Neurospora crassa OR74A: one gene and its partner. The protein of the gene in region 2 interacts with the protein of the main gene of each other region in a pairwise test. Links are inferred from orthologs where the notes say so. Each region holds a gene or a part of one and is shown on either strand. Other genes may lie near its edges. The genes, in order: NCU03591 and NCU08067.

Region 1 (15,442 bases), on a different chromosome or scaffold from region 2:
TTTTCAGTAATCATGAGTACTAAGCCCGCCCGTACGTAACACGCTGATTGTGAATTTTGATGCACCTTCTTTCGTCTCGCTCTCTTTTCAGACCGATACCAACGACCATCCCCAGAAGTATACCAAGCTCATTGTACCCAGTCCTAGCCATGTCCACTCCAACAGCCGGAACGCACAGGCGTCTACTGGGCGCTTTCGCTTGACCTTGAGTTCCCTACTCAATCCTAGCCCTCTTATTCTCACCCTGATCTTCCTTTTCTCCACTTCCACCACCAGCCGGATCCTCTACATCCTCCCTCCTCCTCACGGTACCAGCACCTTCTCCAAGCTCTCCTCCATTTACGCCACCGTCTTCCTCTCCTTCGATCTCGATCTCAACCTCCTCGCCACCGATCCAATTCCCCTGTTCATCGAAGTACTCGTGCACGTTCTCCGCCGTGATCCACCCGGAACTACCAGGCATCGGCGGCGGCAGACCTCCCGAATTCGACCCCGCAAACACGCCCTGGAAACCTTCGATGGCATCGCCCTCAAAGACTATCCTGTCATCGTCGTAATCTTCGTCTTCGTCGCCTTCTTCGACGGGGTCGGGGTTGAGATCGGAGCAAGCGGAGATGGCTTTGTAAAGTTTTGTTGCTTCATTGTCGGGTTGTTTCTTGCCGATTGTTGGCTCCTCCTCGATTTCGGTTTGTTGGGATTCGGTGGCAGGAGCAGGTTGGGGGATGAGGGTGAGTTCGACGGTTTCAAAGTCGTCGTCGTCGGCGCCGCCGTCGGGGGAGAGCTCGAGCTGGAGGAAGACGGAGGGGTACTTTGTTTCGCCGGTGCCAATGGTCTTGATCGCGTGAATGCTAATCACGGGGTAGGGGATCTCAAAGCCAACTTCGGCGGAAGGTGAAAATATCGTGAGGTTTCTGCAAAGAGGAGGGGTGGGGTTGTCAACTTTTGTTCCAGCGCGTGAGGACCTTGACGGTTAGAGAGCACATGGACATACTGGGAGTTGACGTAGAGATCAACTTTCTGCTCAACGGTTTCCTCAGCACCCTCACTCAAAGCGGCACTTTCAGGAGCTGTAGGTTCGGCCTCGAGGTCGGCCGGGAAGAAGGGCAACCTGCCGCGCTGCGACTTGGGAATCCAGGCCTTTGCGCCGGTCGCATGGTAGTAGAGGACTGGCTTTCCGCCAAAGAATGTCTCGGGAGTTTGCCGGAGGTGCTCTTCAAGAGGCTTGAAGTCCGCAAGAGCGGGCGGCGTTCGGATCGTGGTAGGAGCCATTTTGTTGGTTTGTTAAGGTTGTGTTTTTTGGTGTAGAATTACGTACAAGTTACCTCTGCGAGCTTGAAGTTGTGAAGCTGCTAAAGCTCCAGAAGCTCTGGGGCTCTGGGCGACCTACATATCTTTTAGTGGGTCCGATTTGCTCCATTATGGGGCTTATCAGTTTATCGTTCCCGCTGTGGAATGACCCCTGTAGCTCCATCGACACTCATCATCGCCCACTGCACCAGACTGGAACATCCCCGCGCATCCAAGTTCAACAACGTCAACATCGCTTCCCTCGACTCGGATAGGAACCTCGAAATAGATTCACGACACAGGCGGAACTACCTCGATTGAGATACTATTGCAATCACATCGAAGTACTGCAACCTGAGCCCTCAGATAGACGGTACTCAAGCACTTCATCTATCCTCTGCCACCCGTCGTGGTCCCAGTCCTCAAGGTCCTTCGTCCGGCCTGAAACATCACTTCTACCTCTCAGCCTCGCAGAATTCCCCTACCACAACTCTTCAAAATGCACGACAACCGTAAGTCGCCCACCCCCAACCCTCCCCCCTCGCTATTGTTTTCTTTTTCCCATCCTTCCTCTCCCTCCTAACAACATCCTAACTAACACCCCCTCTCATTACCCAGGAACCCATCCCCTCCTCCAACAACTCCCCCTAACCGTCTCTCCCTTCGTCTCCCTCCCCTCCTCCGTCACTTTACCCTACACTTACAAGCCCATGCCAAGCGCCCTCCCGCCCTCTCCATCCGGCGTTGGCGTCAACACCCCCAACCAATCCGAAGGAGGCGACCCAACAGCATCAGCGTCCTCCAACAACAAACCAAAATACATCATCTCCCCTGCGTCCGGTCACGCCGCCCACCCAGACGACATCATCGCCTCATGTCAAGCTCTACAAGCGCACGTCGCCAAGTTGCAGTCTGACGCCAGCGCGGAGCTGAAGGCTTTCGAGGAGAGAATCAAGAAAAGGGAGCTGGCTGAGAAGAGACGGGTGGCGCCGGGGTGGTTGGATAGTGAGGCGAGGTTGTTGGAGCCGGAGCGGAAGGGTGGGAACTCCAGCTCCACCAAAGGAGGGAATGGTGGAGGGAGTTTGCTGGATGCGCAAGATGGTGAGAGTGACGAGCAGCAGGGAGGAAATGGGGGGAAGGATGGCAGTATCGCTGGGTTGACTCAAAGGTTTGGTGGGCAAGGGTTTGGGTTGGGGCACGGAAATGGGGGTCCAAGTGAGATGGCGGTGCCAGATCAAGGCGAGGAGTTGGACAGGGCGTTTGGGGTGGTGGGGATGGGTCAAAGGTGATGGTCTGGTTGCAAGTTTTTGGCGATGTGAGTTTGCGATTACGGAAATCCAGTATCGGTGACACGATTCTTTCAAACTCTGCACCACTACCTCATAGCCCGGCGAAGTATCGTAGCAAAATAGGTTGGGGAGCGAACAGGTGGCCACAAAGACATTTGAACATGGAGAGGCGGATGTAGTTGACGACCTGATGAACTGCGTGTGACAGAAACTATCAGCGAGAAGCGTCTGCCTGTGCCATATCTTGATCGACATCACAACTCCCTCATAACCTCCTCGACGGCCTTCAACGCCAACTTCCTCCTTTGCTCCTCCGGTACTGTGCCGCTCATATCCCTAACAGCTTGCAACTTGAGCATCATCTTGGCGATCTTCTCCACATCTTCCTCTCCTATCTCTTCTTCCTCCTCCTTTACCTTGTCTGCCCCAGACTCAGACTCAGCGCTCGGTCCAGCCTTTGCTACGTCTGTGGCAACAGCAGCGGATTCCCCCTTCTCCTCACCTTTCTTCGTCGCCTTTTCCTGCCCTTCTGTTGTCTGCGTCACGCTCTTCAACGCCTCCAAGTCTTCTTCCGCCGTCCTATTCGAATCTTCAGCCCCCTTCAGGAACGCCTTCCGCATTTCCATTTTCTGCTTCTTGGTGTACCCAAAGCCAAGATCGAACTCATCCTCAGCATCCCCGTCGTGTTCATCAACGTAGTCCTCTTCGTCTTCAGACTCGTCGAACAGCCCACGATTGTGGTTGTTGTTATTGTTGTCGCCCTCGTCGCCGTCTCCGCCTGACCAGTCATTAGACTGCAGTGCCTCCAGGACTCGCGCGATGCCCATCTTTTCGCCGAATTCGTTTCTCTTCTCCTCCCCTTTCTTGCTGTTGTTGTTGTTGCCGCCACCAACCCGATGATGAACAAACTCCAACCCCCACTCCGCACACAAGTCATCCCATTCATTAATCTCATCTTCCATGTCGACGTCCATTTCAGCAAAAGTAGTCTCACCATCACCACCACCACCGATATCTGATGACACCGTCGCCGTCGCCGTTGTTGTCGTAACGCCAACAGCCAACCCCACACCCTCCCACTCCCACCCACCTAGTCCCTCCCGCACCACCTTGCCCACCCCCTTGATCAACTCCCTCGTCTTTTCTTTCTGTGCCGCTTTCACCTTGGCATCATCTTCACCACCTGAAGAAGAAGAAGAAGATATAGAAGACCCAGATGATGAAAAAGGAATCTCAAAAACACAAACAACCCCGCCCAAAACCCCCAGCACCTCCTTCGCCTCCTCGCTCAAAAAGCTCGCTGACCAGTCGGCAGGCGAAGAAATCAGGTCTAGCCAGATGGGGATGGATGCAGTGTAGTAAGGTGTAGAGAGAGAGAGGTGGTGAGTGATTCCTGCAAGGGAAGGTTCCGTTGCCGTGTGTTCTGATGAATCTTTTTGTTCTTCTTCTTCGTCTTCTTCTTCTTGTGAGGGTGGTTGTGGTTGTGGTTGTTGTTGTTGTTGGGGAGTGGGGGCCGTGCCGGTTAGGTCTATTATTTGTTAATTAATGGGGAAGAAAAAAATAAAAAAAATAAAAATGTTTGAGAGGGGGGTGGGGGGGGGGGGGGGGGGGGGGAGAAAGAGAAAGTGGTGGTAAAAGGTAAAGCGCTGGTTGGTTATGTATGCGAGAATGGGAAAGATATGGGGAAGTAGTAATGAGAGGGGAGAAGGGCAGAATGAAGGAACATGAGGTGGCATGGCATACCTCTGATGACGGCACCGAGATGGTCTGAGGAGTCGGTGAGGGCGACGGCTAGGATTCGGCGCGGGTTGCCAATTTCTTCCACTTTGGTAGGCACCATTTTGTCAAGGTTCTTAACTAAGAAAAAAAAAGATGGGTTTGTTGTTTTGTTGAAGTGAGGGGCTCCGAGAAAGTAAGTCGCCAAGTGGTGTACTGTAGCAAGATGAGCATGGGGATGATAGTGACACCTGCCTATGGTAAGTAACCGTTGAACCGTGACGCCACAGCAAGTGGAACGGGGGATAGGGAGTTGGCGCAGAAAAGTGGATCTTGGTGGCTTACTGGTACATAGTATGTGGCGCATATTATCCATGGACTTCGTTCGGTCGCCATCACCAACATTTATTTACACAGGTTTCAGCGATCATATTCGTAGTTCTGATCTCTGTATATACACTACATCATCCATGCCCGCTGTCGATGATGTCTATCATCTCAAAGCAAATGTGTTAAGCACCAAAATGAAATATGCGCTCTTGTTTTCCTCCATCATCCTGAACCCAACCCAGAAAGAAAAAAGACACCCCCTCCATCCCGAGTTTCCATCTCATCATTCGTTGGTCTATACCCTTCTGAATCATACTCCATGATCCATCAGGCCATTTTATAACATGACTTAATCCCATTTTGACTTGCATCTGTCACTTTCCTTTCAGCATCTCCAAGAGGAATTTAGTTTTCCCCATCCTTCTTTCCCTCATCTCCAGTCCCGCTTCCCTCAGCAGTGGTAGCCGTGCTCGGCTGTTCATCCTCTTCATCAATATCAACCAACTGCTTGGTCTTGTACGCCTTCTTGGCGATTTTGACCAGCGTGTCGTAGTCACCGCTCATCTCGCACATACTCCTGAAGCTGCCATCGGTCTTCTGCATCAGCTCCCAGGGATGTGCGTACTCGACAATCTTGCCCTTGTCCAGCACAAGGACCTTGTCATAGTCGGCAATGGTCTGCAGACGGTGGGCAATAGTGATGATGGTGCTGGTCAACTCGCGGATGGTCTCCTGAATGGCGGCATCGGTGGCGTAGTCGATCGAGGCGGTGGCCTCATCCATGACGAGAACAGTGGGCTTCTTGAGCATGGCGCGTGCCAAGCAAAGAAGCTGACGCTGACCCTGCGAGAGGTTGTTGCCGGACTCGGTGACGGGAGAGGAAAGGTCGAGGAAGATGTTCTTGTTGGTAGCAGTGGCGGGACGAGAAGGCTCCGACTCGCTCTCAGGAGCAACGGGGGTCTGAGGAAGAAGGGCGGTGCTGACGGCACCAGGGATGACCTCATCAGCCTTGATCAGGTGCACGCGGCGAAGAGCGGCAAAGATCTCCTCATCAGTGTACATGTTGAAGGGGTCGAGGTTGGTCCGGATGGTACCCATGAAGAGCGTAGGCTCCTGAGGAACGATGGTGAGAGCCTCACGGAGATCACGGAGACCAATCAGACCAATATCAATATCGTCGATCAGGATCTTGCCCTCATCCGCCTCCAGAGCACGGAAAATGGCCAAAGTCAGGGAACTCTTTCCAGCACCAGTACGGCCCACAATACCAATCTTCTCGTGGGCTTCAATCTTGAAGGTAAGGTTGCGGAGCACGGGCTCTAATTCAGCTCTATAGCGTGTAGTGTAGTTGATGAACTCGACAGAGCCGTGGGCAGGCCAGTTCGCAGGCGGACGGTTGTCCTCAACAACAGCCACGGCCTCTTGCTCGACGTCAAGGTACTCCTTGATGCGCTCAACGGAGTTCATGTTCTGCTCGTTCATCGCATAAAGACGAACCAGCCAGAGTATGTTATCCGCAAAACCGATAGCATAGCTGAGAGAGATACCCGCAGAACCAGGATCGATCTTGCCGAGGCTGAGAATGACGAAGACTCCAGCAGAGAAAGCAACGAGATCACCAAGAACATCAGTCCTGAAAGCGAGCCATCTGTTGGCAGCCCAAAGGTAGATGAACGGGCGGATCTGAGCGTTGATCTTGGCAAAGTTTTCCCGAATGAAACGTCTCTCAGCACCATACGCTCTGATGGTGACGACACCGCTCAAAGTCTCTCCGAACTGCTGGAAAAGAGGGCTGCGTTGCACGGACTCCAGGCGCTTCAGGTCGCGCGAGGCATGGAGATAGAAGGCGCCAAGGAAAACGTACAGGATGGTGATGAAGAAACCGGCAATCAAGAAACCGGGAGTAATCCAGGCAATCAAAGTAACGGTGACGCCAATTCCGAGGACACAACTCATGACTCCAATAGCAATAGGCGCAACCTCCTGGTCAATAGCCTCCAAGTCCTTACTGAATCGGTTCATGATCTGTCCGAGAGGGGTGACATCGAAGAACTTGAAACGGGCACCAGCGACGGCACGCATCAGACGCTGGTGGAGCTTCCACGAGGCAGTCAAGGAACCGAAGAAAATCCACATGTCCCTGGCGAAAGCAGCAACGGCGCCACCGATACCGATGATGGCCAGCATGGTCAAGTAGTAACCCACGTTGACATCACTATTCGAGGTGGTCGAGAAAGTGTTGCTGTCGTTGCCCTTGATGTAGGTGGCGATCGAAGCAAAGTAGGTAGGTGAGACGGTCTGGCTGGAATAGCTCTGCGAGTTCATGTTGAAGGTGGGTGCAACAACCTCGTCCATAGCGTATTGGTTAGCCCATTCCTTGATCCACAGACTGGTGGCGACACCAGAGAACTGCTGAGCGCCAAAAACAACCGCGGATAAAACCCAGAACCACCATTTACCCATAGCGGTAAGGTAGAGCTTCATGACAGGCCACTTAACAGCACCAGTAGCCTTGCTTTCTTCCATAGCATCCTGTTTCTTGTGCTCCTTCTTGATCGTCTGAGCCTTAGTCTGAGATTCACTGCCGTCGGCCTCGTTGATCATGGTGTGGTCACCTTCCTCTCCGACACTAGACGGAACCCGGGAAGGGACGCGAGAGACATGCGCGGAGCCAGGATAGGACTTTTGGGCGAGGTCCTCGCCGAACTTGCCAGCCGCGATGAGCTCCTGAGGGGAGCCCTGTGCAGTAACACGACCATTGGCCATTTGGACAACGAAGTCGGAGAAAGGAACGCAGAGAGGGATGTTGTGAGATACGAGGATGCAAGTGCGATGCTTCATCAAAGGACCCATGATGCAGTTGCTGAATATCCACTGAGCGGTGTGAGAATCAACGGCGCTAAGGCAGTCATCCATAAGAAGGTGCTTAGAGTTGGAGTAGACGGCACGAGCCAGCGAAATGCGCTGCTTCTGGCCACCGGAGAGGGTAATGCCCTTCTCACCGACCAAGGTCTCATCGCCGTTATCAAGAATCTCCAGATCACGCTCCAGAGCGCAAGCAACAATGACGTCCTTGTATCTCTGCTCATCAAGCGGTGCACTGAAAAGAATGTTGTCCTTGATAGAACCATTGACAAGCCAGGCTTGCTGGGCAACATAGGCGCACGTGTCGGCAAGGCCAGTTTCGGGGTCGGGGCGGACATCCTCACGGCTGCGGCCTCCGGGAAGGAAGACACGACCCTTGAGAATGGTCATCTCACCAAGCAAAGCCATAAGCATAGAGGACTTTCCGCATCCCGTGGGGCCAGTGATGACGTTGAGCTTGCCCTGCTGGAATTCGATATTGAGGTCAAGGAGGCGGAAAGCCAAGCTTCCGTCCTTAGCAACAGTGTTCCTGCCGCCCCAAATGAAGCTGGCGTCCCTGAAACCAATAATCTTGTTGCCGTTCTCGTCAACGCTGTCCTGACCCAGTTGCTTGTACTTTTCGGTCTCCTCCTCAGATAAAAACTCCTCGATACGGTCTACAGACACCTTGGACTCCTGAACGTGGGCAATCATGTCTCCGAGCTGGTCAAGCGGATATCGGAGCAGCATAAACAGAGAAATGGCGGTGAAGGCGATGGAGGGATACAACGGCTTCTTCTCGATGACGGTGTAGACAAAGAAGGTGAAGAAGGTGATGAGGATAGGAACCGTGTTCCAGACAGCTACTGCGCAAGCCCAGACCATGTACCGAGCCCGCAAGGCCTTGAGCTCTGCCCGTCTCTTCTCATCAACAATGGTCTCAAACCTGTGCTCCCAAGCAAAGTACTTGATGATCCGGATGTTTTGGAGGACTTCGTTCGTGGTGTGGATGCGCTTGTCAGTAGCCGACATGATCTTCTTCTGGGTATACTGGAAACTCTTGGCAAAGCCAATGTTGACAGGAAGGAGCAGAGCCATGATGATGAAACCAGGGATGGCACTGTAGCCCATGACGCTATAAAGCAGGATAATGGCTACAATCAGCTGTGTAGGAGCCGAGGCAATGAGGAAATGAAGGTAGCTAGTGACCTCAGAGACCTTGAAGCTGTCGACGGACATCAAGGTAGTGATGGTTCCCAGATTGGCCTGCTCATCAGCCTCGGCGGCCTTATCCTCGGCCTTTGTAACGGCAGTCTCAGCCGCAGACTGATCATTAGCCTTCTTGTCATCCTTCGCAAGACCCAAAGCGCGCTTGAGCTTTGCGCAGAAACCCTTCTTGGCGGGAGCTTCATCCTTCTTGTCTTCGCCGAGAACCTTGTCGTTACCGGCGGCAGCCTTTCTTCTAAGCGCCTTTGCGTAAATCTCACCGACAAGGATAGCACGGATGTTGATGCAAATCTTGCGACCGATCCAGAGGGCCTGAGCGTCTCCAACAGAGCGGACAATATCAGTGATAGGGAGGAGGATCACATAGAGCCACAAAACGTTGCGGGGAGCCTGGGTCGGGTCTTCAACATATTCGAGGATAGCCTTGAGTAGCAGGGTGGGTGCAAAGGTGAAGGCGCCCGACATAATAGCCCAGGCAGCCTGCGCAGCAACCATACCCTTGAAGTAGCTCAAGAGGTGGTAAGCCAGCGAAGTGGTCTTCTGCACTTGGCGGTAGTTGGCCAAAACGGTGGCGGCCTTGTCAGTTGGAAGCAAATTCCAGACCCGGTCGGCAGTCAACGGCTCCTTCCAGCCTTCCCACATGATGGAGTCAACCCAGCCGAAAGTGAAGTGGGAGAAGAGAGAGGCCAAGTTCTCGCGACTGGGCTGGATACCGTCCTCCCACTCGAGAATGACCGTCTTGTTTCCCTTGCGTGTGCTGATCGACATGAAGAAGAGGAGCGAGGTCAAAGCGAAATCGACGATGGTCAAAGTCTGCCTGAGCTGCGTCGCAGGATGGACAATGACGGAGCGGAAGCCAATGAGCGAGAACAGCCACTGGGCAGAGTAGATGGCAGCCGTGTGGTTCCAGAGGTGCGATGCGCGCCATTGGGTGTTTCTGAGAATGAGACGCAGCGCGGCGAGAATCAGGACATAGGTCCAAGCACTGAGACCAGCAATGGCGGCAATCTTGCCGTGATGGCCGCTGTAGGCTTCGAGAACCAAGGCGACAACATTGACACCGACCAGACCGGCAATGGCGAGGATTTCGATAACGGTAAGGGCAGTTTGACCGGCAGGAGTATCAGCCTGCACGATGGAGCCCTTGGTAGTGACCTTGGCCAGTGCAAGGCGGCCGCCATTCATAGTCAGCGCTTCATCTTCGTCACTCTCGTCGACCGGTTCTTCGTCTCTGGGTAAGTAGGTGCGGTCCTGCTCGTTATCGGCGACGCGATCGTACCCGTGGTTCGGTTTTAGCTTGGCAGCTCGGAGGAGATTTGAGGTGAGAAGTCGTAGTAGGGACAGCCCTACGACGATCAATGGTAGGAGGATCTTGAGGTAACTGTGGAAACAAGTTTGTTAGCGGTCGGCGGTGGTCAAGATGAGGGAAGATAAGCGCAAAGCTGGCGATGGCGTTGTTGGGACATACTCTTCCTGGAAACATGGCGTGAAATCGTCGGTCCGCCATATCGGCCACCCGCACTGAGCGAAACCCATTTCGCGCGCTCAGCAGCGCCTTCGTGTGGCGAGCGAGCTGGAGACAGAGGAGGTGTGTTTTTTTTTTATTTTTTTTCCAATGGCCTGGACGTTGATGATGTCTCGGGACAGCGGGTGATACAGCCCAAAAAAAAGACGTCGGAACTTTGCTGTTTTGTCGCAAAGTCCGGCTGAGGGTTGGTTGGGGCCGTCGAGAGGTTGATATTCTCTGGCGGGCTAAAGAAGTATGCGGCGAAGGAAGACGGAATTCCTCGAGAGCGAGCGAGGTTCGAGAGGAATGAATTTTCCGGAACTCGGTCGACTTTAAGTTGGATAAGAAGCAAGCAACTCCAGTCGTGGGTGGATGACGGGATGGGCCTTGGTTCTCTGGTCTTGGCTGGGATTCGCCGTACTGAAGTTGCCTGTCGTTCCCCGCTGTGGATGAGGGTGAGTGGTCAGCGCGAGGTCTGCCTGCTGCAACCTACCCTCCAGTATTGTTGCGATGAGCAATTGCCCGGCACGCCGGTGGGGTCGATTGGACACCTCTTTAGTGTTTTTGGGGGGCTTTTTAGCCTTGATAGTGGGGCTATGGATCTCGTCTTTAGACCTGCCAGTTGTCAATTGAAAGACTTTTTTGTGATCATTTGGAATCAACAAGCGGTGGCCTTTCAGTATGTATCGTTTGTTTCTTGTGGTCTGGGACTGGTCCTTGACAAACCAGAAAATTCATCTTCCACTACGCTAGACTGGTGCTCCGGGCTTGATTTGCCGAGTCAAAAGAACATGACTGAAGCTATGTAAGACGGCAAGGCCCGAAGGGGAAGGTCGCATCAAGATGGCTGTATTATACATCACAAAATCCCCATCGACTAAACAGCCGGTAACACATCGATATCTCGAAGCAACTGAACATTATTGTTTTCCGGCCAGGCAGATGTATAAACTCCTTATGTTGGCCGTATCACACCTCATTGTGGGCTTCGAGGCTCGTCATCATCAGCATCATCACCACCACGACCTCTTCATTGATGCCTATCACCAACACATTATATTCTCATCGTAGGAAGTGTCTCCCACCGTTGCGGTTTCTTATCGCTTTCTGTCCCGCCTTCAGATCGATTACAACTTTGATTGGACCAGAAGACCCTTGATTGTGTCTGACGCAGTACTTGTACACTACTCTTAGACTCCAGCCTCCTCCGCATTTGGCGCTTCGTCTCTAAGTGCCCAAGTGGAATCCGGACCCCCGGAAGCTGGGACTACAACTGGGGAAACTATGTGGGTTTGGGACTTGGGAATTGGAGTTGGGAACTGGGCGGGAGGGGGACACAACGCTCGAGCCACCTACCTACCTACCTATGGCGTCGCATTGTCAACCTGTCAGTTTGACCTTGGATGATACAATCAGGACAAGTCAACCTCTTTTTTCTTGAATCACATTCGAATGGAACAATCACAGCCGATCAGGTTGCGCAAAACACATCTGTCGACGGGCACAAGGGGAGGTGGAAGGGGTTCCCGTTGTGATGGACAACCCAACTGAAGATAACCAGCTGCGAGCCATCCATGTGACAGCTAACAAGAAGGACACGGAAACAAGGGTCCTTCAGTTGTGTCCATGCACAACCTAACGGGTACGTATCCCAACCAAACAACCGAACCTCCACCACATACCGTACTCCGCCGTTTCGTAACATGGCAATTACTGTACAGTATTGGCATGACAACCAACCTTGGATTGTTTTTGGACCTGGAGAGTAGTTCAGTTCTGGTAAGCCATCCGCGATCTGTATAAATCCAAGTTCCAATATCACCCTTCAATTGACATCCCAATCGCTTCATCTTCAGCTCATTCGTGGTCCATCCCCCTCTAAATCCAATCTTTGGGACCGAACGGTTACAACGATTGCTACAGTACCTCACAGGTAGGTACCTAGGTACATATGTGTGTACAACCTCGCATTCTATACAGTAGGTATGTTGGTGGGTCTCTAGCATTCACTGAGCACAGCATTCACTAGGCCCAGACCCCACTCTGTGCCCTGCCCAGACCGCACCATATCTAGCCTTCCAAACTTTACTAGTCTCCCTCTTTCTCCTCCATAATACTCAATTAATCGTATCCAACCGCTTAATTTCGATGGTCTTACAGGTTATGAGCCCTCTCTAACCTTCCCTGTAATCGCATTTTGACAAACGATAAGCGCATCATCAAGCGCATTGTCAACTTCAATAAGGCGCTGCAGCACCGGGTCAAAAGAAGCAACTGCAACCTTCATCGACTTAACGACTCGCCCGCTCGCCCATAAGCTAGCCTCGCTATATAAAGATTCTTACTAATACTTATTGTATAGCGACCCCATCGAATTAATTATCGATTTATTCAACGGACTAATTATCGGTTTATTTATTATCGAATTAAGCGATTTAAGCGATTCTATTATCGAATTAATTAAATTAATTAACGGCTAATTTAACGACTACCAACTTTCTTTTTCTTAATATATTAAACCCTCCTATACCTACAACAACTACTAATTCATCACTAGTTCCCCTCCTTAGCGACCAAAACATCGCCGACTAGTATTAAGGCCTTATAGCCGAGCTTAATTATTTCCAATTCGCCGAATATATTTTTAAGATAGTCCTAGAGCCCAATAAAGCGGACGCTAATAAGTATAACGCCTAGTAGACCAAGCGTACTAACGCTAATAAGATTCTGCTCTTTACCCTAAAAAACCTTAACGTTGTTATTATATTATATATTAATAGTTAGGATAGACCCGGTAGAGACCCTAAGGTTACATATGATCTCATTCAATTATATATCGCTCGTTGATACGGGAATATTGACAGTACCGTTATCATATGTACAATTACTCAATTGATTAGATTAGACTGGGCATAGCTTACCCATACCCACCTTCGTTGGAGGCTCTGGTAGGCACGTGACTACGTGCCTACCTGCGTAGAAGGCTCTAGCAGGCACGTAACCTTGTACTAGTTTGGCGCTGGAATTCCTATAAAGGGATTCCCGCGCAGCACGGCCTTCGGCTACGCCTTTCTTCCTCCAACATCTTCTTTCTTTACTTTCAATACTATAGTTTACCTATAACTACATTAGTATTATAAAGCCTCCCAGGTTACCCTATTATATAATAATTATAATTATACGAATAGTAACTACACTATCCTTTAATTGCGCCTTTTATTAGGTATTGCAATTAATTTTATTTCGGTAGACTCTCAGAAATTTACATCGATTATTTAGATTCTATATTATAAAATATTAACCCCGCGATTACAATCACACCTCCCCCATTTAAGTCTACAAATTACTAGTCGAAAGATAAGCATTATAGACTTCCCTTTTACCCCGCACTTCTACTACATTATACTATTATACTCGCATCGGCTCGCATCGATTAGAATACTCTAATACCTTACTACCCCAATCCAAATTTTATTTAAACTTCGATATAAAGGGTAATATTTATATAGTTCATTACAAAATAGCTTTACTCCCTAAGAATATTACAATTTACTAATTACAAAATAAATTCGTAGTATAATTAATCCTATTCTAATTTATAATTATTCCTTTATCCTCCTATTATATTTTATACCGCTTACCTTTATACCTATAATTGTAGATAGATTTTCCTTTTAACTACTATAATTGCTAAAGACCCTCCTTAGGCGGTGCGTTACTCCCCACGTAAATTATTAACACCCCTAATTACTAGTAGCGATATAACTTAAAATCCCAATATTATTAGTAATTTTATTTCGATTATTACTAATAGCCTCTCTAGTTTACCCTTTCGTACCGCGTCTAAATAATTTATATACGCTATAACCAAACAAGCTTCCTAATTAATTATAATCCTACCCATTGACTTCTATCCTACTATTAAGGAATCCCCGTTTAAGTGCTCCCTTACTTATAACGTCCGTAATTCAGTTACCCTTAATCGTTCTAACGATAAAGATAATAAGGAAGTTGAAATTAGTTAAGTCCCTAAGCGTATTATATATAAGAAAGTTTAAATTCAATTTAATAAAGTTGAAGGCGATTCTAAAAAGTAGGTTAAAATTGCCGAATTTAATATCATTTTAATTAATTAATATATAAACAACCTTTTTACTAAGAAAAATATAGAAGACTAAACCTATAATAAGGATATTAAAAAGGAGTTTAAAAACGTTTATATAGAGTTTTATAAAGTCTATTATATTATAAATAATAACTATGCTAAATTTATATTTTACTTCGCCCTAGGTATTATTAATAATAAATCGGCTATACCCAGCGATTACTTAAATTTATCCCCCATCCGGACTACCTCCTCTAATAATTTATAAACTACTACTATTCGTATCGGTCCTAGCTAGGATAAAAATAAAAATAAAGACAAAGATAAAACCGCTGCCCCTTATAATATATTTAACTTTATCAACCTTACTAACAATAATAACCCCAATCTATCCAACCGTCCTTTATTTAATACCCCTTATATTAAAGAATTCAGTAGTCCCCTCCCCCGTATACATTCAATTAAAATTCCGAAGAAGGCTTTTATTAAAGATGTACAAAATAAGTTTAACCTGCCTACTTCTAGAATTTGTAAGGAAGAAACTTTTTTTACTTTTTTTACTACCGCTAAAGAACGCGAAATTAATTTATAAGAATTTATAAAGGGATAAATTAATATATAATTTAAATACTTTAAAGAAATATATAAAATTATTGAAATATATGCCTCCGATATTACCCCCCCTTCTATTCCTAATATTATAATTCCTTCTACTCCTATTAATAAGGTTAATACTCCGGCTAATAAAGTTACACCTATTAATACCCCGCTATTAGTACTTAAAATTAATAAGGCTACTATAATTATTAGTATTGGAAACAGCGCCCCTCCTAATAAGCCTCCTTATAAAGGAGCGGTCGCTACTACCCTTAATAATCCTAACGACGATTCTCTAATTTTAGAGGATAATCGTAATAAGTATTGTAAGCACCGTGCTAAAGGCCGTAAAGCTAAAAAGTACGCTAATATTAATTCTAAGTCGGAGGAGTATAATAAGCGTCGTAAATATAGTAAGTCCTATAAAAACTACAACTCTCCTAATAATTCTAATAAATTATTTAATACTGACTATTACTATTATTGTAAGTATAGCGATAAGAATTGTAAAAAGTATAATTCCTCTAATTTATCTTTGTT
Region 2 (15,802 bases):
CACGCCCCCCAACGGGCCGGATCCGCGAGTGATACGAAAAGATGCAACAGATAGAGCCGTCTAGATCTTTTGATGTTCGTTCAGCCAAGATTTAGGCTTTAACACGGCCATATCAAAACCAAAAAAACTCGACGACACATTTTTATATTGGGAAAAAAAAAAAAAAAGATGTCTGCCTGGTACCTACAGGTAGTCTACTAATCCAAGAACAGTGAACCTCTTTGACGATCTCTCACAGAAATATGTACCCACACCATAGCGCGCGCGGTTTGCTAGCTAGGGTAGCTCGTTGCAGTGCTGCTGCTCCTTCGCTCGTTTGGGACGACAAGACGTTGACTTTAGCTTTGTCTCGGGAACTTCCGGACGAACGAGACTACCACAAGTACCGCCGACACAGAAACTTGCGATTTGGGCGAGCAAGATGTTGTCGAGAATTGACTCGAAATCCCATCTTCATCTCAGCAGCGTCTATTTGTGTTTCGCAATAGGTCGGCGAATTTACGGGGACATGTCGGCATTCCGGTCATTGGGTCCCGGTTCGGGTTTTCAATTACACTATTGAAAGATCTTCCCAGGTCTACCGACGTCGTCAGCCCGGACGGATGGATGGATGGATGATGGACCACCTTCGTTGGACTCGTATTGTCTGTCTTATCGGATTGTCGGAAGATTTCTATCGATGCGTCTCTTCGCCATCAGACTTTTTTTTTTTTTTCTCGCGAGCTTGCTTGGACCGTTGGCCACCCACTCAGATACGAACGAACGAGACGAGAGACGGAGGCCTCCTCGCTTCCCGCTTCATTTTGCCACGGTGGACAACATACAATTGTTGGGGAGCTTGCAAAAGTTCCGAGCATATTTGCACATAAAATCTTTTCACCTCGGCTGTCTTGGTGTTTGACGTTGTCATTCGAAATCGGGTCGTTTGAAAAACGCGGTCTTAGATGTCCAAGCTGGCCTGGTCGAGGTATGGGGATCCATGTAGAAATCCTTATACATAGCCAAGCTTCAGTTCACTTTTTCCCTCTCCGGGTCCGTCCCTGATATCTGTGCCTGGGCATGCTTGCTTGGCTCGCTTGGCTCGAGCCTAGGCGGCGGAAGCGGACGTATCTCCGACTTGGTGGAGATTTGTACGTGAAATTGTCGAACATGGTGTAGCGTGGCATCTTTTGTCGCGTGGAATCGTGGTCCGTAGTCGCTGCTATGATTCGGAGTTCCGCAGGGAGTGACCATGGTGGTTCGCTAGGTGTACATAGTATTTGAGCCGGCTTGGACCAACAATGATCCGTATCAGCTGAACAGTGCTGCCGTCGTTGACGAAAATGAGTAGTGTCGATGAAGATGGCTTGCTCCTTCGACAATGTGAGGTCCAAGGTTCGGGCGGCGTTCATCATCCTGAGAGGTACATACAGTACAAATCCCGTTCATCCGCTCCATCCGGGGCCGATCCGGGGCCGACTCGGGGCCGACCCGTTTCCGTGTTGCCGCGATTCCGGGGCGCCGATCCCCGGATAACCTGACGGCAGTTGGTCTCAATGATATCGGCTTCATGATTGAACAACTCAAGTGGAAACCAGGGAATATCACAAATACGTACTTCTTGAGGTGATTTGCGCTAAAACACAGTGGTACCAAATGGTCGGGACGGCAGTTGAACAGCGGAGTCCGTGGGGGAACTCAATTCTCTGGCTTTATCTTATCTTATCGCTTCACCAGGGTCTAGAACACACTATGTATGTACCTCTACAGGTAGGTACCTGTACCTCTAGAGTCAACACCACCAAAACCATCAAATGTTACGTGTACACACATTGAAGAGGTATCCTGATGTTCATATGCTGGTCGATATGTTTTTATCAACCATCAGATCAATTCAGACATAAAGAACAGCGTAGCCAGCAATACTATGTCGATTAGGCCTTCAATTTAGGTGTATCTTCCTCCTAGTCCGGTTAAATACGCGCTTCGCTGGGTAACTATCTCCATGATCCTTTGCTAAAACAGCTGTTTTCATTTACGTTTTTCTTTTCTTTTGACGCCAATTCCAAAGCACACGCTCATTCGAATATCGGAAATCACCCCTTCTTTAATCCCTCATCTTCTTCCGCCAATTACCCCGAAGCTCTTCAGAGATGACGACCTGTGCGTCTGACCAAGACCCGGCACGCGCACAGCTGCTACTCTTCGCAGCGCTTTCGCCCTGCTCGTTCCCGCCGCCGTCACCGTATTTATGTTGCTTCTCATGAGCCTCGACGGCTTTGACCTGCTCTCTCATGCCATCAAGCGACAAGGCGCGAGCTCTGGTTTCGCCTGCTCCTGCTGGCATCACGACATCACTCGACTCGCCTACGGGGCTAGCTTCTTCGTCGACCGTAGTGCATCCGCACTCGCATTCGCACGCCATACTCTCAACGGCACTGTCCGTAGGCGGAGAATCGACATGAGCACCGTTCTCGTCGCAGCTGCAGCGTCCATTTCCACCATTGTGCTCAACCTCCACCTCCACCTTCGAATGTCCGCGTCCGTATCCATGTCCATATCCATATCCTCCTCCCAACCACTGCTCTTCCTGCTGTCCATAACGCGCAGGCTGTCCATGTCCACGTCCCCATCCCGGCGCCGTTGTCCTCCAACCCATCAATTCCTGCGTCCATGTCTCTTGTTGACCTTGAGGCTGAGGAGGCTGGTGGTGATGCCGTCCGTACCCTCCAACACCCAAAGCCCGCAACTCCCTCACAACAGCCACCATCTCCTCTACTTTCTCCCTCTTGATCTTACGGAGGTGCTTGGCGCGGCGGCGGTGGAAGTTGTACTTGCCGTGGCGCCAGATCTCGACTTCGTGGGCGGCGTCGAGGCCGTTGAGCTGGGCGTGGATATTATGGAGGTGCTTGGTCAACTCAAGGACGTTGGGATCTTGGGATGGGGGGTGCAGGAACTGGTGGTGGGGTGGGGAGGGATGATGAGCATAGGAAGGGATAGACCGGACATGGGGTGGACGGGCAGGAGGGGCAAAAGGGATTGAGAAGTGCTGGTGGTGATGGGGGTTGGGCAAGTACTGGTAGTCATGGGGGTTGGAAAAGTAATGAGGGGAGGGAAAAGACAAGTTATAAGGCTGAGAAACCGGTGGGTAATAAGGAACGGCGTACTGCTGCTGCTGCTGCTGCTGCTGAAAAGGAGGCCCAAAAGGTGGCTGCATGTACAGGGGAGCACTGGAAGCTGGGTGGTAAGGAGTCCAGCACCCCGGTGCGTTGACATAGGGTAGTGAGTGGCCATTGCAGCCTTGCTGAAGATGAGGAGGCGAGTATTGCTCATCATGGGCTGCAAACTGGTTCTCGTGGTCGTGGTCACAGCATCCTTGATGCGCGCCTTGTGAATACGTGTCTCCCTCGTAGCCTTCTTGGTCCGGCTGGCCTAGATCGCCGACTCTCTCTTCCCGAGCGCGATATTCGTGGATAGCTTGGTTGAGCTTTGCCGTCAAGTTGGGAGTTTCGGAACGACCTCCGCCGTTAGATGCCTCCGGGGTGTTGCGGCCAGGAGCCGGGGGTGAAGCCGGGGCGGAGGCTGGGATGTAAGCCATGATGATTCTGGGAGCGCCGCAGTCACTCTTTTCGTTGTCGTTTTTCCCATCTTTCATTGGTTCAGTAGCGTTCTTGACGTCGGCATTGTTGTCTACGTTGCCAGGTTCCTTCTCGGATGTTTCTTTGGCAATGGGGGTATCCCCTTCTGAGACCCTTTGTGGCTCCTCCATCCCCTTGACACTTTGCTTGAGGTTTGCCTGTCAAGCAGGTGTCTTTGCTTTTCCAGTTCAGGGTTGCAAAGGGAGGTACCTGCTGGTCCTGGATTCGCTGGAAAACGTATGGGGAAGCCAAACAACTTATACCTCTCAGTGCCGCCAAAAGGCTAGCAACGAAGGACCGATTACCAATGTCTGAATCACGCCGCGTGCTATTGTAGCGTCTGCTGTCATCATTCACTTGGCCGACTGGCCTATTGTCCATCTTCCATCTATTCATACGACACCGAACCTTGACCACATTGAAGGCTGGAGCTCGTCAGGTTATTCGTGGGCCCATGGGTAGACGGTCGTGAACCCAATGCGTCAACCACACGGGCAGGTCAGGCGGAAAAATGGCCATCGGAACACTGTGGGGACTTGCCTCCCGTGTGATGCCCGGTCCAACGCGCCGATATTGCTCATTGATAGCAGGGTTTGCCGGCGGTGTCACACTGTCATGGCTGTTTGCTAGACGCCGGAACCATCTGGAGGCTGCTGGGCTGACTGCGGGCACGACAGGGTGTTTGACCAAAATTGAAGTTGATGGGATCAAGGAAACTGGCTTTTTATTCCCCGCTTGGAGCGTTTGTTGGCGACCTAGTAGTAATTGGCAGCAAATTTGGGTGTTGTTGGTCAGGCACGAATGAGATGAAGTAGAAAGGAAACATCGAGGGGATTTAAATACCAGCAGTTCTGGGCCCCAAAGGAAGAAGTGCAAGCGATTCTAGCCATGCAGAAGTGGAATGACGTGGCGAGGCTGTCGATACCCTGCCCTGACTCACGACGGTATCCTCTCGAGACCCCTAAACCATGCATGAGTCTCTTGACCCGGTGTCCAGTTCGGCACATGGGAATAGACAGCTACTGTGTCCGTCCACGACCGTGGCGGCCAAGCCGTCCCTCCTTTCCAGATCCGTAAGCATTCTGGTACCGCGGGTTCGTTTGCGGGTGTATAATGCCGTTTCCCGTATAAACTTCCGTCACAGCACCGGCCCACCTCCCTGCTGCTCCAACCTCATCCTCAACTCCCTCTCCTTCTGGGCCACCTCCATCTCCAACCGTTCGACACTATACTTGAGTGCCTCCTTGCGCTGCCTGACCACTTTGGCTCTCAGCGCAGCCTCCCCATTGAGCTTCTTCCCCCCACTTCCACTTCCGGCCTCCTTAGTACCACCACCCTTCTTCTGTATGCCGCCTCCTGCACCACCACTTTTCTGTTCTCGATTGTAATTCGACAGTCTCCCGCCATTGAGCTCACACCTGGCCTTGAGCGTCTCCACCCTCCTACCTTTTCGCTCCAGCTCTTTGTCCACCCTCTCCAGCAGCAGCTCGATGAACGGGCCGATTTCGTCGCGTAATGAAGCTTCGGCAGCTTGTAAAGTCGGTTGGGGGATCAGTTCGTAGTGCCGAACAGTTTTGAGGACAGAGGAGAGTCGGGGGAAGTCGGAGGTGGACGAGTCGAGGAGGGAGAGGGAAGAGGAGAGGAGGTTGAGAGAGGAATGGAGAGGCGGGAGGAGGGTGGAGAAGGAGGGGGGTGGTGGGTTGTAATTGTAGTTGTAGTTCATCTTGGTGATCGGGGTGGACAATTCTGGTCCGACGGTTTTTGAATAAATCTCTAGTCGTGACTAAAGAGGCTCGCGACTTGGAGATAGGGAGTCTGCGCCGGCTGTTTGGTGGCTTGGGGATTGTGGGCTGGTGCTCTCTCGCGGTTTGTTTACTTTCGGCGCGGTGGTCGTTTGTCTATGGAAATGGATCGCGATTTGGTCTAGCCCAGTTGGATATGGCGACAGTCCTTGTCTGTGTTCGAATGGAGATATGCGGATAGTCGTTGCCCCGTGTTGATCTGGGGAAGCGAAGAGGCAAAGATGAAGACGGTCGGAGGGGGAAAGTGGAAAGCCGAAGAAAAAAAAGACGATCCGTCGCGTTTCTTGTCTTCGCGCGTCATAGGTACCTACCTAACATGCCGCCTAGACTTAGTGTGTATGTACCTACTGGGGGAGCCTTCCCGATCCCGCTGTGGGGGACACTGCAGCCCCCTGAACGGTGGACCCTTTTGGTGGGACAACCCGTGCACTAACCTAACGGCTGCCCTGTGGGGCTGTTAGTGCCGTGCCTTGCATCACCCCGCCTTCAGATTCCATGTCTTCAACCCCATCTTCCGTTGTCCTGATCTTCAGCTTCCGCCCTCCCAGATCCATCTCCCCCCAAGCAGTGCCGTACTACCTACCACCGTTTTCCTCTACTTCGACCCTTCAAAACGTCCTCAACTATTCGATCACAGACAAGAACACGAGCTGGGCAAAGCAAGGTCAACTAAACGAGCACGACGAGAAACGTAGGTAGCGAACAGAGTCGTCGTCGAGAGAGCTGAAGAGCCACGCTTCCGGCTTCGGATGATTCAGACCTGGCTATAGGCGAATCTTGAGATACATAGGTAAGAACCCAGGCCGAGAAAGAATGGACACCTCATCGATGTCGAATAGTCAAGTTTCTTGTGGTGGAAATTGTAAACATATGGATAGTAAGAGCAATATGACGAGAAGGAGCACAAGCGGCCTACGGAGGAAGATTGGCACGATGGGTACCATCAGAACCAGAGCGGTGACGGCGTAGAATAATACCTACAATGAAACTGGGTGCGGAGATGGATGAAGCTACGTAAGTTACCAACAGAGAGCAACGCAATGAACTGGGGAAATACCTCTAGAGTAGAGATGTCAGTTCCTTGGACGGGCATGTTTGCAACCAATCTGCTATTGCTTTAGCGGACTACTACAATTGTAACAAACTACCTATGTAGTGTACATTCATAGCTGTCTTTGTCACTAGGTGGCTGGCTGTTTCCATGTTGGACCATAACAATGTAAGCAATATCCCTGTCCGAGATGTGATGGACATGGGTAGTGGTGATGAGCGACCTGGAGCGAGGTTAGGTAAGATCCTCGCATCTCCACACCTTCGCTCCTGGCTAATTTCGATAATCTCGGATTTTCCTCCATCATGAAGATTGGAAATTGGCGATTGAGACCCGCAAATTGGGAGGCAGCCAACAAGCTCAATTAATCATCGGACTCGGTACATTATCGATATCATGATCAAGCGGACTGTGTCTTCATTCTCTACAGGTAGGTAGTTCCAACATCCCCAACTCCGGCCGCTGGATGTTCAATTGCTGCTTGTGGGTACATCTCCTTTTGGGTTCACAGCCTCCATCCGTCCGTCCATCTTCTCTCCGTTCCTCGCCATGCATGAAATTCGTAAAAACAGCACCCATTTCCATCTTCCCCCGCTTTTTTGTCCTGTTCCCTCTTCCATTGCCATTCTCCAGTAGCGGCCTATCCTCTGCCGTAGCTGCCGAACGCAAAATAGAAGACATGTAAAGTTGATACAAGAACTAGTGTAACACGAGAAAGGAAAGACATTGAGAAAAAGGGTAAGAGAAGATAGAAAAATGACATTGCAAGAAAAAAGGGAAAAAAAACTCCATTTCCACCCAAACCTTGCCCCGTCCGCATCCAACATCCGGTTTCGCCTTCGTTTCCAAACGAGCCACGGTTTTTGGTGTGTCGCATTACGAGTCCCGTGGGTGGTCGAGAAGAAAGTGTAACGTTAATGTGGGTATAAAACGCCGACTCAAAAGAAAGATAGATAAAAGAAAAAAAACCACTTCATGATTTTGTTTTGTACTGGCGGTTCACACGCCAAATCCTCTCTTTTCAAAAAGACGAAGAAAAACCTCAACTCCATCCCCGACCCATTCAAGCCCGCTCATAGCAAAATCAAGTAATTGCTCGGCGCAATACCCGTTTCTCCATTCTCCTTCCGTGCCTGCCACCACCGCCCGCTCACGTCGCTAATCTCCAGCACCTCATGCTTGGAGAAACTAATCTCGTTGGCATCGTCCGGGTTGGCCTCATAGCTGAATATCGCCTTGGCCCTGTACGGGTACTCCGTCGGCGGAACGATCTCCCCTTCTCCTTGCGGCTTGGGGATGTTGTTGGACGAGAAACCCTGGGGAATCTGCGACTGGCGAGCGGGGTTTTCGAGCCCGTTGAGCTGACCCGTGTACATTTGCGGAGGCTGGAGGCCCGAGGCCGAGGTTTCAGGGCGCATGTTGTAGGAGCCGTAAGCATTGGGAGAGGAGAGACCGTTGTGGTTCATGGTTTGGCGGCTCATGTGATGCGCAGGGAGGGTGGATTCCTTGGTCAGCGCAAAGGAGTCGATGTAGGCACGGGGAACAGCCGATGGGGCGGAGCCAAAGTAGAATATCCAGATGATCTGGCGGGACGTTAGCAAATGGGGTCAGCCAGCTGGGGGAAGTTAGCGGGGAACCGCATACCGTCACCATGGACAACAAGATATACCCAGCCGCTGTCGCCTCCATGGACGCAACGCCACTGTAAATCAGGTTGTTGATCGACGACGTGGAGCCGACCAGCCCGACGGCCAGGTAGCCAACGATGGCGACATGGTAGGTCTGAGCGCTGTCCGAGGCGATGACGATGAAAATGCCGAGAATGAGGAAGAAGTTGAAGACGAGGGTGAACCAGCTGTAGGTTGGCCAAACAATGACGGGAGCCCCATTCGATCCGTCATTTTGGTCCCTAAAGCCAAAGATGGATCCAAACAGGATGATGATCCATGACAGCTGTGGTGATTGTCAGTTCGTGAAGGCGACAGGACGGGAAAAGGGTGGACGCCAGCGCGCGCGCGTATGGAAACTCACAGTAGCAATAGAAGTAGTGGCCAGAGCAAATGGGTCACCAATAATGTTGCCCATGTCTATGCCTTTTCGGCGGTACGAGTTCCTGCCGTGTTCCATTTTGGGGTTGTTGAAGGACGGGGGATAGTTAACCGATCCTCCGTACGATTGCATCAAGGGCGAAGGTCGCCAAGGAAGAGCGTCCTCTCGGGATATTCGAGGTCCGTGTTATAAGTGATGGACCGACGTGTGTGGGACACTTTAGTTGACGCACACCTTCACTTGGGGTATAAGATGACGGCGAGGGGCCGTGTGTGTGTCGTATTCCGGGGACCAGTCCGCGGTTGGTAATGCGATGTGTTTGTTCTGCAATGACAGATGCAATGTCACGAAAAAAAAAAGAGAGGAAGTTCGACGGCGACAAGTGGTCGAAGTCGAAGCAAGAAATTCGGGTCGGGTAGCAATTGTCGTTTGCTGCAAGACGTTGAGCGAGGAATTCGGTGTCCAGCAACGCGGTATGGCTCGTCTCGGTCGTTGCAAATATGGGTAGGTAGTAATTGGGCGATGTATGGAAATGAGTCGAAGGTAGGACAGTTGCAATGTTATTGAAAGATTGGGTGGTCGCTGTCGGGCTGCTCCGTCGGGTGTTTGTTGGTTGGCAATCCGCAAAGAGGAGGCTGAGTCCAAGGGAAGTGGCCGTCGGGTACTCCAAGGACACTCAAGACGAGGACAGAGCCTTTGAATCTTCAGGGGAAATAAGCAACGAGTCGGTCGCACGGGTCGGGAGATGTGACGGTACGGTAGTTGTCCGTTGGAACGAATGGCGGCGGCGGTACGGTATGGGTAGATACGGTAAACACGCAAGATCAATCGGTAGTTGGAAGAAGGGCGGTAGAAGAGTCCACTGGAAGTCTGGAAATGGTCCTGGATTCCTTTTTCCTGTTTTCTTTCTTCTTTTGTTTCCCTTTTTCTTTGTTTGTCCGGTGTATGACGGTAGTCGGGTGTGATATCTCGGTACCTGCCAACGTCGTATTGTACTATCCCCCCGTCTTGTTCCGGTTCGCGTTAATAAAGGGCTCAGCTCAGCTCAGGGTCGGACAATCGTATGCTGTCGTCGTCGTCGTCGTCGTCGTCGTCGTCGAGGTTGATGAGGTTGAGGGAACGAAGGGAGCGATTGATGGATTGAGCAAATTGTTGTTGGACGTGGCTGGGGCGATGATCAACGCCGGCCAATGGAGAAGTGAAAGGGAAGAAAAATTGAAGGAGGGAACGAACAGAAATGAGGGGATCGCACGGGCAGGACGGACGGACGGGGACGTGAAAAGGGAAATGGTGTGTGTGTGGGTGTGGGTGACGACGGCTGGGTGGTGGTGGGAGATCCGGAATGGAAGGCCAACGACGGGGCCTGGCTGAGGGACTCCGGGGCGGGCAGCAACCGGGGGGGGATGAGGTGGCTGCTGCTGTGGAAACGAGTGGACGAGACCGCGCAAGAGAAGTGAGGAAGGGACCAACAATGGAGCCCACTGAATCCACTGAAGATGGGGGGGAGCCATGTCCGCTGTGGAGGCTCTGGACTCCTGGAGTGCGTTGCCTGGCGGCTGCTCGCTGCACAATGAATGAATCCTTCCCTTGCAGTGACATAGGTACAATGTCCGGGCAACACGCGGCAACACTGCGAACGAGCCAATCGCATTATTGCATTTGCTGGGCTAATGAATGCAATGTCCAGTCAGAAGAGGCACGGTCCTCAATCTCACTGCAAATCGTTAGGCCAAGACATTCCAGGCGCTGCTTACCTACTGTACCTCTAGCGGCTGTGTGGGGACGGGAGCATGGAGCAAATTAGAGGTACACAGACACAGGGCGGGCTACTGTAGCAGCTCGATTTCTTTTTCTGCACTTTTTGACAGTCTTTGTAGCTGATGGTGGTGATTGATGGGGAGTCATACCTACCTAGAGGTAGACTCTGCTTGGGTGATTAACCTGTTCAAAGTGAATGATGGCTCTAGGGTACTGGGTCATGGCCAGGACATCTTTATTTTTATTCTTGTTTTCTTCTTCCATCTTGATATATCTTACCTCGACACTGTTCAAACTCATAGTCAAAAAGTCTCAAACATTCACAACATTGTAACACTCGGAAGTCAGTCAGGCAGCTAGCCATGTGGCTTGCGTCTGTGCTCCATTCACTCATTGCTAGGTCGTCCAGAAACATCGTGACCGACTGTAAATGATAGGCTGAGAGCTGGCTACCATGCGACATCACTCAGCTGAGCTCGGTGACGGGCAGAAAATGTCAACAGAGAGACGGATTCACCATGCCACGAATCCACACCCATGCAGCATGCAGGCAGGGGCTTTAGGCTCGCCGCGTGAGTTCTAGGGCAACGCCGTTCGTTTCGGAATCCCATCTGCAGGAGCCAAACAATCACTGCCGGCTATCAAGCGTGTTTGTGACGTTTGTAAAAAGCCTCTCCCGTGAATTCTCATTCCAGATAGAGCGCTACCACAGCACCGTCGATCTGGTTTTTGTCGGTGCTAACGGCGAGCAGAGTGTTGATATCGGCTGAACATTCCAGTGGGCCAAAGATGACGCCCGACTCCCGCGCATCTGTCGCGTGATATCTGCCGCGCAATGACATCTGCCCCATTCCCTTGGTCACTAGCATTGTTCTCGTACGAATGTGCCAACCACTGTTGATCTGCTCTTCACACTTCGTAAAGTGCACGCGCGCTACCAACGGCGTGTCGTATTCCATACGCACAACCCCAGTGATTTGTTCGCGGTCGCCTAACCTGTTGATCAATCGTGACGCCGTTCTCTAGCGGCGGTAAAATGGCTTCCGTGTGAGTTTTGTTTCCCGCAAGCCAAAATCCATGCTCCTCCGCTTCACTAGCCATGTATCGCATAATCTTGTCTCGAACCTCCTCTTTGCCTTCTCACTCTATAGCGGCGTCCATCTCCCTCACCCTCTCCGCTCTCCTTACCCTCAATTCGCACTTTTCCACCCTCGCTTCACCCTCCGCCACAAACTTGCCGTACCCCAGCACCCTCTTCTCATACCATGCCTTCATCACGGCTTCGCTCCTCTCCCTGAGCTCCGCTATTTCCGCCTCTTGCGCCAACTGCATGGCCTCCAGTCCCTTCATCCGGGGTATCAAGCTCGCCAACTCGGCCGAGAGTTTGCTGTCGGGAATCGCGGATTCAATGGTGTTGGCTGGGGCGGCTGCAACTAGGGCGGACGCGGTCTGGGGAAACTGGGAGGCGTAGGAAAGGACTGTCGCGAGAATGGCAGCAGGCGGGAGGTCCGTTGGTGGGAGCTTTTGATCGGCCGAGGGGGAGGTGTGGAAGAGTGTGGGGTTGGCTTTGTCTGGTTTGGGGCCTCTGGTTAGCTTTGAAGTGATGCGAAATGGAAAGGTGGGAGACAGAGAGGGACGTACGAATTTTAAGCAGCTCGGCGTACACGCGAAAGCGCCGAATGAGCAGATTGAAGCGGTGTTCAAGCTGGGCAAGAGAGGTCGTTGCGGAGGAAGAGGGCGCTTGCGTTGGAGGGTCGGAGGGGCCGTAGAGGATGTGCTCGATCCGCCGGAGACGGGATTCGAGGAGGGAGATGGTGGCTAGAGACGTTTTGTCGAGGCTTGAGGTTTCCTGGGAGACGTCCATGGTGTTGGTGGGCGAGTTCTGTTGGTAATTGGGGTTATGCGATGCGGTATCGGTGGTATCGGTTATACCCGCCTCGAGGGGATGTCGCAAAGATGAATTAAGATGGTAAACAGAAGCTGAGCTCAAGCAGTGGCAATTGTCCAGAGGAAAAAGAACCTTGACGGCGCGTGTCTAGACCGATGACGGGTCGTGTAAGGCTGTAAGGTAACATACCGTTCAATTCAACCCCGCCTCCGCATCCCGGACACCGCCCGTTGGACAGCGACTGGTGCCCGGACAACACAAGGCCCTGCTCCTGGACAGTGGAACACTGAACAAGCTACCTACCACTGTAAACTCTCATAAGGCTGGAGCTTGGCTTTTTTGATCTTGTTATTTCAATGACCCCCGATAGTTCACCGCTGATCCACCTGGAAGGCTTCTCTTCCCCTGAACGATCTTGTTTCACTCGTAAATTACACTCGTTGGATGTTAGTGCTGCGGTGTGGAGTTAGTGACGGAGTAAGGTACCGAACCCGTAGGTACCTACTATGTACAAATGTGAAACAAAAGGCCCGTGTGACTGAGCAATGACAGTGAGCTTGGCGTTCGCGGTACCTTTTCTGTAGAGGTAGCTGACACCTTCCCTGGAACCCCCATCGAATCCCCAGAACAAGGAAGACCCGTCATTCCCGTCTGTGCTGGCGCTGTTCTCCATTGCCCACGTTGCGTGGATGTCCTTGTCAGCTCGCTAAAGTTGGCTTTTCTACTTTTCTTAACAAATAAAGTCTCGTCATCATCATCGATCCCTTTTTTTTCTTCCCGTATGAGTTATCGAACACGCGACCATATCATCCATCCAACATCGGATCGAATCGCCCCCGAATAGGCACTCTGCTGCTGCTTTGCAGACTTACACTCGCTTTCCCCGATGCTGTGACTTGATGACAGTCGACGACAACTGACGGCGCCGACTGCCCACCATCACTCGGTACTTATCTTCATTGAAGCCTCGACTCGAGCACCTCATCGACCCCGGCGATTACGATCCGGTTGCGATACGTCGAATCCCCCTTCCTTCCGTCTTTTCGTTCCTGAAGGCTTTGGGCGTATCAGCACCGACTACGAAACCCATCACTTATCCAAACCAACATAACATCCCGCGACACCACGAGACGGTCCCCCGAAAGAAAAAGTGATATGACCAACTATCATACTATACCCAACAGCGGCCTTCTAGGGTCGAGTCACGGTGTCGGAGGAACCATGGTCCAGTACGTTTGCGCGACTACCTAGGTAGTTCCGGCTCTTCTGGTCGACATAGCTGACGGCGCAATGTCTAGACAACGAAGACTCCGCGCCCCCAAGCTGGGTGGCGGCCAAGCTTCCATGATGAGCAGCAACATCAACCTGCTGAATACCAGTGCGTCCCAAGACCTTCGCCCCCCAAAAAAGACATGTCTAACCGGGCAACAACACAGTCATCGGGGCCGGTACCCTCGCCATGCCCCACGCCATGTCCAAGTTCGGCGTCACGCTCGGCGTCATCCTGATCGTCTGGTGCGGCCTCACCTCTGCCTTTGGTCTCTATCTCCAGTCACGCTGCACGCGCTACCTCGACCGGGGCTCGTCTTCCTTCTTCGCGCTGTCGCAAATCACCTATCCCAACGCCGCCGTGGTGTTCGACGCGGCCATTGCTATCAAATGCTTCGGTGTTGGCGTGTCGTACATGATCATTATCGGTGATCTGATGCCCGCGGTGGCGGCAGCGTTCGGAGCGGGGAATACCGGCTGGGACTTTTTGGCTGACCGCAGGTTTTGGATCACCGTCTTCTTTGTCGTCTTTCTCATCCCGCTGAGTTTTCCCAAGAAGCTGGATTCGCTCAAATACACGAGTCTGGTGGCACTGTTTTCGATTGGGTATCTGATCATCCTGGTGGTTTACCACTATGCGGTGGATGACCATAGCGAGAGGGGCCCCATCAGGCTGGTTACGTGGGAGGGACCGGTGGCTGCTTTGAGCAGTCTGCCGGTGATGATTTTTGCGTATACTTGCCATCAGAATGTGAGTACAGCGACTCTGGCCCCCCGGGAGATTAGCCTGCTGACGTGCTCCAGATGTTCTCCATCGTCAACGAGATCAAGGATAACTCGCCAGCCAGCCTTGTCGGCGTCATCGGCTCCAGCATTGGCTCCGCTGCCTCGGTCTACGTTCTCGTCGCCATCACCGGCTACCTGACCTTTGGCAACGAGATCCAGGGTAACATTGTCAGCATGTGTAGGTATCCCCGATTTCCATCCCTCTCAACCAAGCCTAACATGTCCCAGACCCACAATCACTAGCCTCCACCATCGCCAAAGCTGCCATCGTCTTCCTCGTTACCTTCTCCGTTCCTCTCCAACTACACCCCTGCCGCGCCTCCATCGATGCTGTCCTGCGCTGGCGACCTGGCCGCTCTTCTCGCACGCAAAATGTCTACTCCCCACCCGGCTCCGGCAACCAACCCCTCTTGCCTTCTGGCGGTGCTCCTGGCGCTGCTCTCGACAGCCACGGCGCCCCCGTAGTCGCCATGTCCGAACTCCGCTTCGCCTTGATCACCTCGGTCATCCTGATCCTGAGCTACTTCACGGCCATCAACGTGTCTAGTCTGGATAGAGTGCTTGCCTACGTGGGGTCTACCGGGTCGACGGCCATCAGCTTCATCTTGCCTGGACTCTTCTACTACAAGATCAGCGACCCGGAGAGTATATACCACCAACGCCTCACCAAGGAAGACGACGATGCCGAGTACTCCTCCTCCTCCAGCTCATCGTCTGCTAGCGATGGGGACGAAGAAGAGGGGTCGCCAGGACCGTCTGGATCTGGGGCTGGGATGATGGACAGCATTGCTAGCGTGAGGAGCAATACCAGCGTGGGAAGCAGGCTGGCAAGGACGCTAAAGAGGAAGTGGAGGTGGGATCTGGAGCACTTGGAGACGGGGCTATTGAGGAAGATGGCGCTGGGACTGTCGATCTATGGAGTGATTGTTATGGTGGTATGTTTGGGAATGAACATTGTGCTTGGGCATGGGGGCCACTAGACTCCACGGTCCAGAAAGACGTTAGATGGGGTGTTGGAGTAGGCGTTTAGACGGGAATCTTGAGTTTGTGAGGTGGGCGATATCGGCAGATTGACATGCTATATACTCTGTATAGTTTGCGAGGAGCTGGCAGCATTGGGCTAGCCGAGCTCATAGCGATGGGCGTTTGGGACTTGGGATAGTTGCGTTTCTTGGATCTAAAAGCAGTGTAGGTAGCCATACCTACCTTACGCAAACGAATATTACATCTCTACCAGAGCCGCTCGCAGTACCTCACAACCGTATCGATTCCCCGTCACAAAGGTCCACGACGTGAAGGTACCTACCTAACCAGCGGTTACTAGTAGTGTAACTATGCAGCTAGAGGTGACGAACATGTGTCTCCACTCTAATTGGACCCCACCAGTTTTTATCATTAGGATCGTGATATTTATGGGCAAACCTCTTCCTCTTCTCTTCTTCAGACTTAAACAAATCCATCCACATCACCACATTCGTTTCCGCTCTTCTGAAATACCCCATGGGTCCAGCGATCTCGACACAGCGCAAGCCCTATGAACTCGACAACAACGACTTTTCATGAGCCAGAAACCAACATGGAA

Evidence for each region.
Region 1: the proteins of NCU08067 (region 2) and NCU03591 interact in a protein complementation assay, tested with the Saccharomyces cerevisiae proteins (2 studies listed by BioGRID). The link is inferred for Neurospora crassa OR74A from reciprocal best matches to the Saccharomyces cerevisiae genes SHO1 and YBT1.

Annotation. Positions count from the first base shown.
Region 1 is NC_026505.1:1,740,891-1,756,332, forward strand, and holds NCU03591 (ATP-dependent bile acid permease), read right to left. Parts: upstream 10,661-15,442; 5' UTR 10,230-10,660; coding exon 10,162-10,229; intron 10,075-10,161; coding exon 5,028-10,074; 3' UTR 4,611-5,027; downstream 1-4,610. Other genes in the region: NCU03588 (FPD1), read right to left, coding at 215-911, 992-1,269; NCU03589 (hypothetical protein), read left to right, coding at 1,787-1,799, 1,906-2,576; NCU03590 (hypothetical protein), read right to left, coding at 2,831-4,104, 4,320-4,416. UniProt on the Saccharomyces cerevisiae protein: Vacuolar class C ABC transporter which regulates the translocation of phosphatidylcholine to the vacuole lumen, the release of lumenal calcium stores, and acts as a negative regulator of vacuole fusion. Exhibits ATP-dependent bile acid transport.
Region 2 is NC_026501.1:152,128-167,929, reverse strand, and holds NCU08067 (osmosensor protein), read right to left. Parts: upstream 9,894-15,802; 5' UTR 8,652-9,893; coding exon 8,502-8,651; intron 8,424-8,501; coding exon 8,115-8,423; intron 8,054-8,114; coding exon 7,544-8,053; 3' UTR 6,814-7,543; downstream 1-6,813. Other genes in the region: NCU08069 (hypothetical protein), read right to left, coding at 2,087-3,775, 3,923-3,967; NCU08068 (mitotic spindle biogenesis protein Spc19), read right to left, coding at 4,756-5,340; ro-10 (RO10), read right to left, coding at 11,418-11,848, 11,919-12,141; NCU08066 (amino acid transporter), read left to right, coding at 13,321-13,394, 13,464-13,543, 13,602-14,185, 14,239-14,398, 14,449-15,200. UniProt on the Saccharomyces cerevisiae protein: Plasma membrane osmosensor that activates the high osmolarity glycerol (HOG) MAPK signaling pathway in response to high osmolarity.